Linked DNA regions of Schizosaccharomyces pombe. The protein of the gene in region 1 interacts with the protein of each later gene in a biochemical or structural test. Each region holds a gene or a part of one and is shown in the gene's direction. Other genes may lie near its edges. The genes, in order: hhp1 and rec8.

Region 1 (4,809 bases):
AAAAGACTACTCCCCGAACGAGGGATTGTTTCAAACCGACATGAATGAGAAAAATCCTCATGATTTATGGAACCCAACGGTTCCCATGGCTTACCTTTCTCGATCTTTACAAGGCCTTACCATTTCAAAAATTAATGAAACAGAACAAAAATTCCCTTTGAGCTCTGTCCATGCTTACGTTGAAATCGGAGAAGGTATGTTTTCAATGGAAATCGTTACTGAACAATTGCGTCTATTGGGCGCAACTGTTCATGCGTCTTTACAAATGACCGAGGAAAATCCCGTTTCTCACGCAGTACTCTACGACTGCTCACAAGAAACTCTCAAGAAAATTAGTTCTGCTCAAGTCCCAATCGTTTGTGTATCTCCTAAATGGGTTTTGGCTTGTTACTCATCTAAGTATTTAGTCGACGAGGAAATGTACTTAGTTGATCCTCAAGATATACTGCAAACTAAATGTTTACAGACTGATGACTCGGAGTTGCTGAATCCTCTTGATCCTTTCACTGACACGCAAATGATTCAGGACCCTTCTGATGCCTTCTTTTTCGATACTCAAGCAGAAAATTTAGAACCATTCGTTAATGGGTCTCCTGATTCTCATTGTTTTAATGCCGACTCATTCTTGGATCAAACTTTGTCCGATGATTATGAGTTTGGTCTCATTACTTGCAGTGATTCTAATGAGTCATCTATGTCCAATGACGCTCAACGAGAAAATAATCCAGAAACCATTTCTCAAATATCGCTATCTCCAACGGCTGATCTATTTTCGTCTTTCAAAATTACGACGGATTTAGAGATGACTCATTTAGAGTCTGCCAAAAAGAAGTATCTAGCTTACAAACCGTTAATTGGCTCTCCACTAAAAAAGAAGGTTAGTCTTATAGATTTCTAAGTGCCTTGTCTTTCTATTTCATTACTCTCTTTCATTTACAAGTTTAATTCCGCACTGCTCATTGTACATATTGTTAGATCAGTGTTTTGCGTGTTTTTCCCCTTTCTTTTATCCTGCCCATTGTCAGTTTATTTTATTTTATTTTATTCTATTCGCTCAGTCGTCACAATCCTGACCCAAATTATTTATAATCTCAATGGAGAATTAGTCAACTCTTATTTAGAACAGAAAAATGCCTTGCATTTTTCGCTTTTCTTATGTAAAGAACTACAATATTAAATTTCCGAAAAAGGTTTTCTTATTGTTTTAAAATGTTCTTTCATTTTATTTTTTCGCACTCCAATATTCGGTTGGAGGTCTTTTTCGCTTCAACTGGAAAGACAGTGTATCTTACAGCTTTTATTTTCGTCTGAGAACCCGAATTTTCTCTATCTTTTTAGATCATTCGTTTACTGGGGCTCAAATATTATTAGATTTTGTATATAGATTACAAGGAAGAGTCTGTTATAAAGGACACATTTTATTAGCCTTTTATTCTTAGTGTTAATAAACCATACCTTACATTTTACATTTTTCAGTAAATGGTAATTGATAAAATAGAAACCAAGAAAAGCATCACGCTCCCATTCTAAAAATAGATATTGGATGTACGAATGTATGTAGGTATGTTTTATTTACATTCATCGTAAACTATCAATATTCGCAAATTCACTATCTATTATAATTTAATCGCATAGCGAATTTTTTTTGTATTATAATTTATTATCGTTATTTTGATAAAGCAATGCTAACTCTCGTTATGTTTACTTTAAGTTCTTTACTTCTACGTTACCTAACTTGCTCTACTTTTTCGAACCCCTACTTTTACCTCAACCACATCATTCAATTTCAATCTATAGTATATTGGAGAGAAAAAGCGAGTGCCTTTAGCCTTAAAAGCGTTATAATATTATTATGGCTTTGGACCTCCGGATTGGGAACAAGTATCGCATTGGTCGTAAAATTGGCAGTGGATCTTTCGGAGACATTTATCTTGGGACTAATGTCGTTTCTGGTGAAGAGGTCGCTATCAAGCTAGAATCAACTCGTGCTAAACACCCTCAATTGGAGTATGAATACAGAGTTTATCGCATTTTGTCAGGAGGGGTCGGAATCCCGTTTGTTCGTTGGTTCGGTGTAGAATGTGATTACAACGCTATGGTGATGGATTTATTGGGTCCTTCGTTGGAAGACTTGTTTAATTTTTGCAATCGAAAGTTTTCTTTGAAAACAGTTCTTCTCCTTGCGGACCAGCTCATTTCTCGAATTGAATTCATTCATTCAAAATCTTTTCTTCATCGTGATATTAAGCCTGATAACTTTTTAATGGGAATAGGTAAAAGAGGAAATCAAGTTAACATAATTGATTTCGGATTGGCTAAGAAGTATCGTGATCACAAAACTCACCTGCACATTCCTTATCGCGAGAACAAGAATCTTACAGGTACTGCACGCTATGCTAGCATCAATACTCATTTAGGTATTGAACAATCCCGCCGTGATGACCTCGAATCTTTAGGTTATGTGCTCGTCTACTTTTGTCGTGGTAGCCTGCCTTGGCAGGGATTGAAGGCTACCACGAAAAAGCAAAAGTATGAAAAGATTATGGAGAAGAAGATCTCTACGCCTACAGAGGTCTTATGTCGGGGATTCCCTCAGGAGTTCTCAATTTATCTCAATTACACGAGATCTTTACGTTTCGATGACAAACCTGATTACGCCTACCTTCGCAAGCTTTTCCGAGATCTTTTTTGTCGGCAATCTTATGAGTTTGACTATATGTTTGATTGGACCTTGAAGAGAAAGGTATGAGATATCTTGGTAATAGTGCTTTTTTTATTTTCTGGGTTTCCGAGTTATTGAAAACCAATGTAATATGATATTTTATGAAGTTTACATAGTCACATTTACTAACATTTAAATTGTAGACTCAACAAGACCAACAACATCAGCAGCAATTACAGCAACAACTGTCTGCAACTCCTCAAGCTATTAATCCGCCGCCAGAGAGGTCTTCATTTAGAAATTATCAAAAACAAAACTTTGATGAAAAAGGCGGAGACATTAATACAACCGTTCCTGTTATAAATGATCCATCTGCAACCGGAGCTCAATATATCAACAGACCTAATTGATTAGCCTTTCATATTATTATTATATAGCATGGGCACATTATTTTTATATTTTCTTCTCATCTGGAGTCTTCCAATACTTGCCTTTTATCCTCCAGACGTCCTTTAATTTTGTTGATAGCGCAGGGCTTTTTCCTTGGGATGGCGAAAGTTACTTTGCTTATAGTTTATTGAGGGTTCATAGCTTATTTGGCTGAAGATCTTGTGTTGACTTAAATTCTATGCTAACCTCATGATCATATCCTCATTATGGCAAGTTTTGGTGAAAAATTTTTTAATATTAGTACATTTGCTAATAATACATTTGGTATTTGTTTTTACTACCTGTGAATCTATTCATACATTATCATATATGTTTCGAGCCAGGAACAGAAAAAAGTGAGAGAATTTTCTGCAGAAATGATCATAATTTTATCTTCGCTTAACACGAATCCTGGTGACAGATTATGCGTGGTTTAAAGCCTTTTTTTTACGACGCCATAAGCAAATTGGTTACTTTTTTATGTGTGATGAGCCTTGGGGTTTAATCTAATTAGAAGGCATTGCATTCATATACTTTTAATAATATATTATCAGCTATTTGCTGCTTTTCTTTATAGATACCGTCTTTTCCAAGCTGAACTCATTTAATCAGCGTCGTTTAACCTTAGGATGCTTAAGATGCGTTTAAATTCAATGACTTAATGCTCGAGGGATGAATGGTTTGTTTTAGTTCGTGTTCTGGGTGCATGATCTCGTGCTTGACTGTTTTATTGAAGCGTTCATTTCATGAAGTGTCTTTCGATGTTGTTCACACTTCTGTTTGCTAAATATAATAAATATTTTGCTTTTCATTTTAGTTTGTAAACATACTTGAAAAAACTAGAAAGGTGTTGTTTGTAAGTTTTTGAATTATCAATAAGATGAATTTAGAATGATGACACCTACTTCAAAATCAACAAGCATAAATGAAATAGAAATAAATTGTCTTTACTTACTATCTATTTGGTGTAGTTCTCTTCTACAGCAAGTTTTCATAGTTCACTTCGTTTGGCAAGAAATCATTATCACCGCTATACTTCACCGCCAACCACTACGAACTATTATTGCCAGTTTCAATAACGATAAATTTAAGCAAGCATCAATTTTCATTAATTTCATCGATTATATATATTAATCGTTTTCTTTTTTAAAACCATTTCTCTCTGCTTCAACTCACATGACCTATTCATAATATACACTCACTTGACCAGAGTTTATCGAAATAAATACGAAACTTGTGCACCAGGGGCTAGGAACGAATATTTTTGTTAGGTTCTTTCTTCTATCTTTTATTCAAGTAAGCTGCTATGGACAGAAAGGCGAATGCCTATTCTAAAAGCGTTGAGTTGTTATCGAGGCTTGAGGGTTGTCCCTCAGAAAAAGTTCTGTTAGAAGAGTTACGAAAATTGAGGGGGTTCATTCGAAATGATATTCCCAGTAATTTTTTTCCACAACTCTTTATTACTGACAATGGCTTTGCAGCCATTAAGAAGGCTGTCACTAAGCTAAACTTTCAATCGTTACTAAGTCTTGATATTTTTGAATGCTGCTTGCAAATATTAGGAATTGCAACTTCTTATACTATCTTGCGTTCTTGGTTACTATCCAGAAAACATATTGAGGCATGGATTGAGCTCGCTATTCGAAGAATGTTTTATTCATTCTGTGCTATACAGGATGATTCCAATATTTCCATTTATGCAATAGGTACTTCTTCCA
Region 2 (4,601 bases), 710 kb from region 1:
GGCCTCCGTTTAAACCAATATGAAGACATAATGTATAAAGAATTTCAGAAACATCCGGACAATCCTTTCAATAAGGTAAGAAGCGATAAGGGTACATGCATACTCTTTTTGATGATGACCATATCATGTATAAACCCTAAACAGGAAAACCATTGTAAATATCATTTTTACTAACAATTTCAGATGAATGTGAGCTATAACACTAGTCAAGATGAGGTTGAACAGCTTCGTAAAGCTCGTAAAGCAGAATTGGAAGCACGTTTACGCGAGTAACTATAGTTATGGCAATATGTTTAGAACTTTTCTTTTTCCTTTTTACTATGGTAATTCTTTTATATTATTTATAAATTATCAATAAACCAATTACTAAATAATTTTTCTCGACATTCAAAAATGAAATCTTAAATTAAACATGAGAAGTACAAAGTGATTTGGTGATACACCGGTAAATCAAAATTTACAGCTAACTTTGAATTTCTATTAGCACAAGAATGAGTGGAGCGTATACTAATTGTAGGGCACAAGTTCTATTCTAACCGCTTAATTTTTTTTTTTGTAGTAATTTTGTACTTGTTGCTTTCATTTACCCAATTATATGATATTTTTTGAACCATTAAGGAAGCCTACTGCTGAAAGCCAAACCACCTGGCAATATGGCTCTGGCAATGCTAAATCATCCGTTCCCCAACTACCCCCATCTCTTCAACACATAACCAAAAGCAGGAAATATTTATAAGACAGTTAAATTGTTTAACAATATAACTGTTATTTTATTGAATTTTGAATTTTTTCTTCTTTATTTACGCAAATGTCGAAAGTTGCTAGCGCTGCTGGAAAGGCGATTGATTGGGCTAGTGTAGCTAGCAAGCTGAAGCTTGATGCCGCAACTGCTTCTGCTATTGCTAATTTTCGCTCTCGTCATGCTCAGGCAGTTGCCAAATTGGGTACATTGCGAGAGCAGGCTACCACAGTCGACTTTGCTACCTATCGTAGTGTTTTAGCCAACAAGGAGATTGTAAATCGTATTGAGTCTTCTATGAAATCTTTTAAACCTGTGAAGATTGATTTAAATTCGCAACTCAAAGCGATCAATGCATTTGAAGCAAAAGCTAGCGAGGGTGCTAAGAAGAATGTCGAACTTGTCAAAGCTGAATTACAGAATTTGAGTGCTACATTGAAGAACATTGAACAAGCTAGGCCTACTGAAGAAATTACCATTGAGGATATGAAACAAGCAGTTCCCGAAATTGAGAAGATTGTTGAAACAATGGTTACCAAGGGCAAATGGGTCATCCCAGGCTACCGTGAAAAGTTTGGTGATTTGAGTATTATGTAGTTTGCTCCATTAATGAAACATTTTATAACTAGCAATCATATGTGTTATCAATACAAATAAATGTCAGTTGAAAGATAGATAAAATTTCGGTATTTATGAATGGTTTCAAGCAGTATGTTGAAATGTTTAACCATTATTATTAAAATTCTTTTATTGAGTTTCAAACTTCTTAGTACAACTTGAATGACTTTATTTAACCTATTATACAAACATCGTTCACAGCATAATAGTGCGTTAAAAATTTCCACGATCTTTTAATAAGCTATGTCAACTTACGTTAAGTTTTGTTATATTCGTATAATCTCTATTCGATCTAGTGGCACAATAATGAAATTGCTTGTACAATATTAACTATGGATACCTTGGTAGGAGAGCTCAAGATTGAAAGGGCACTAAAATCACATATCTTAGCTCAATTATTAATCATTAGCTTCCATTACATTGTGTTTTGACTCAATCAAAGTAATGATATTTAAATATTCAATCCTTACTTAGATTTTAATAAGACAATATATATTAGCAATGGAGACTTCACTGCAGTATACGTTGGATAACATGTGCCGAGCTGTTAAGTATTCGTTAATAACGATTTTATGTGAGATTAGCTCATATGGTTTAACAATGCGGTATTTCTATGCTTGAACTTCAAATATAATTTTGACGCGTTTAATAAGCTATCTGGTGAACTAACGCGTTCCTGTCTTTCACCATGTTTTACAATCAAGATGTTCTTACAAAGGAAAAGGGAGGAATGGGAGTAATTTGGTATAGATTTACTACAAGATAATAATAAAGCTAATAATTATAGGCTCGCTGCTACATTGGGTTCAAAACATTCATTACGCAAGCTTCACAAGAAAGACATTATGTCGGTAGATATCGATGAAGCTTGCGATTTTGTTGCCTTTTCTCCAGAACCGTTGGCACTACGATTAAGTAGTAATTTAATGATTGGTGTAACGCGTGTATGGGCCCATCAATACTCATTTTTCCATTGTATGTGATGACAGTAGTTTAGGCTGGCAATTTTCTTACTAATTATGCTTAGCCCAAGTTTCAACTCTTCATTTACGTGTTCGAAAAGAATTGGACCATTTCACTTCAAAACCGTTTAAGAATATCGATATTCAGAATGAACAAACGAAGTACGAGTACTATTGGATAATATGACAGATATTCAAATTGCTAACCTTTTAGCCCAAAGCAGTTACTACTCGCAGAAGATCCTGCATTTATCCCTGAAGTTAGTCTCTACGATGCATTTAATCTACCTTCTGTGGATCTACATGTTGACATGAGTTCTTTCACTCAACCCAAGGAAAATCCCAATATTTCAGTTCTTGAAACTCTTCCAGATTCTACTTCTTATTTGATCAATACCAGCCAAAATTATAGTTTACGAAACAATGTTTCGAGCTTTGTTTACGAGGACTCCAGAGCTTTCTCTACAGAAGAGCCCCTTGACTTTGAGTTTGATGAAAACGGGGATATCCAGGAATTGACCAAGGGCACTATAAATTCGGATCCGTCGCTACAAGCTGCTTCACAACATAGCAATCTTGGTTCCGTTCAAAGAGAATACAATAGTGAAGAACAAGAATCAAGGATTCACATGTTCGAAATCGATGAGGACGTTTTACCGTTACCCGTTCCATTGCAATCTGTTATGGATTCAGAGCATAATGAAAATGAACCGCGAGCTTTAAAAAGAAGAAAGGTCCAAAAACTGCTGGAGCCAGATGAAAACATAGAACTGTCTACTCGAACTTTGTCCCAATGGAGAAAGAATTATGTTGAACGAATGATTGCTTTGGAAGCAACAAAGTATGTTCGTCGTAGAGGAGCTTCTTCGGCAAAGAAGAAAGAATTGAACAAATTCTTTGATTGGGAATCTTTCCATCCTCTTTTAAAACCATGGATTGAAAAGCTCAAACCATCAAACAATACTCCCTCTGAAATTGACGATGTATTGAGGAACATTGATACTTCTGAAGTTGAAGTTGGACGGGATGTTCAGGGTGAATTAGGTTTAAACATACCTTGGAATACTTCATCTCGATCAAACAGTGCCATAAATTCTAAAAGCCATTCTCAAACTGGTAGTGAGCATTCCACCCCCTTGCTTGACACTAAATATAGGAAGCGCTTGCCGCATAGCCCATCGATGCCGAGTAGGGTAGAATTTCTTCCTGCCTTAGAATCAAGTCAATTTCATGAAACTCTGAACTCAGAACTTTCATTACAACTCTCTGATGACTTCGTACTATACAAAAATACTCAAGAAGAAAATGCACATTTAATGTTGAGCATGGAAAAAGAATGCGCAAACTTTTATGAGTATGCAAAAACGGCTATCTATGAAAATAATGGGCGCATAACATTTTCAAGCTTATTACCCAATGATTTAAAACGACCTGTAGTGGCCCAGGCATTTAGCCATTTACTGTGTAAGTATCACAATCAAACCACGAACTAACAAAACAATAGCACTAGCAACTAAGTCTGCATTTTTAGTTAAACAGGATAAACCATACTCTGAAATTAGTGTCTCTTTAAACCTAAAAAGCACCGATGCCATTTGAAACTTTTCACATGTTAAACTTAAAATTTTTAAAACGTTGAATTTGGGAATTAAACCCTTTGTTGAAGTTGTCAAAATAATTGACTATGTAATAACATTTAAATAGTATAGTATAACACTTTTCTTAGATTAATGAATGATAATGCTAGCGGATAAATAATTAAAATTAATTAACTACTTACCAAATTTATCTAATTATTATATCTTAAAATTGTGGTATATTATTTGTTGGCTGTTGTACATAGCATGACAGTAGCCTCTATAGTATACGAGTCTTGTTAGTCCAGCACTACAACTCAGGATAACTTTGACCATTGCAATGTTGATAAACTAGTGTTGAACTTCTCTTAATATGCCTAGAAGAAAGTCATTGAGGAGTCAACTATTAATTAACGGCATTGATAAAAGTCTGCTATCTGATGACAGCGCTGACAGTTCTGATATTGACGAAGAGGAAGTTTACGGTGTTTGGACTGAAGAGCCCTTTCAAAAAGAGGCTGGACGTTCTTATTACAGATCTTTAAAGAAAAACGATGTAATATATCGCGTTGGAGATGATATTACTGTACATGATGGAGACTCAAGCTTTTATCTGGGGGTAATTTGTAAATTGTACGAAAAAGCAATTGATAAGCATTCTGGAAAGAAATATGTTGAAGCAATTTGGTATAGTCGAGCTTATGC

The links.
Region 2: of the proteins of hhp1 (region 1) and rec8, one has a biochemical effect on the other in vitro, tested with the Schizosaccharomyces pombe proteins (one study listed by BioGRID).

The regions. Positions count from the first base shown.
Region 1 is NC_003423.3:1,853,852-1,858,660, reverse strand, and holds hhp1 (serine/threonine protein kinase (CK1 family) Hhp1), read left to right. Parts: upstream 1-1,750; 5' UTR 1,751-1,852; coding exon 1,853-2,743; intron 2,744-2,865; coding exon 2,866-3,072; 3' UTR 3,073-3,988; downstream 3,989-4,809. Other genes in the region: mug176 (BRCT domain protein), read left to right, coding at 1-898; lvs1 (beige protein 1), read left to right, coding at 4,398-4,809. UniProt on the Schizosaccharomyces pombe protein: Involved in DNA repair. Has a probable role in repairing alkylated DNA and may regulate the activity of protein(s) involved in double strand break repair caused by gamma rays.
Region 2 is NC_003423.3:2,566,893-2,571,493, forward strand, and holds rec8 (meiotic cohesin complex kleisin subunit Rec8), read left to right. Parts: upstream 1-2,045; coding exon 2,046-2,101; intron 2,102-2,110; exon of another isoform or gene 2,111-2,144; coding exon 2,145-2,332; exon of another isoform or gene 2,333-2,384; coding exon 2,385-2,481; exon of another isoform or gene 2,482-2,533; coding exon 2,534-3,783; exon of another isoform or gene 3,784-3,823; coding exon 3,824-3,918; 3' UTR 3,919-4,101; downstream 4,102-4,601. Other genes in the region: oxidative stress transcription coactivator/ribosome recycling protein Oxs1, read left to right, coding at 1-75, 184-273; atp7 (F0-ATPase subunit D), read left to right, coding at 809-1,336; origin recognition complex subunit Orc1, read left to right, coding at 4,270-4,601. UniProt on the Schizosaccharomyces pombe protein: Involved primarily in the early steps of meiotic recombination. Required to ensure reductional chromosome segregation.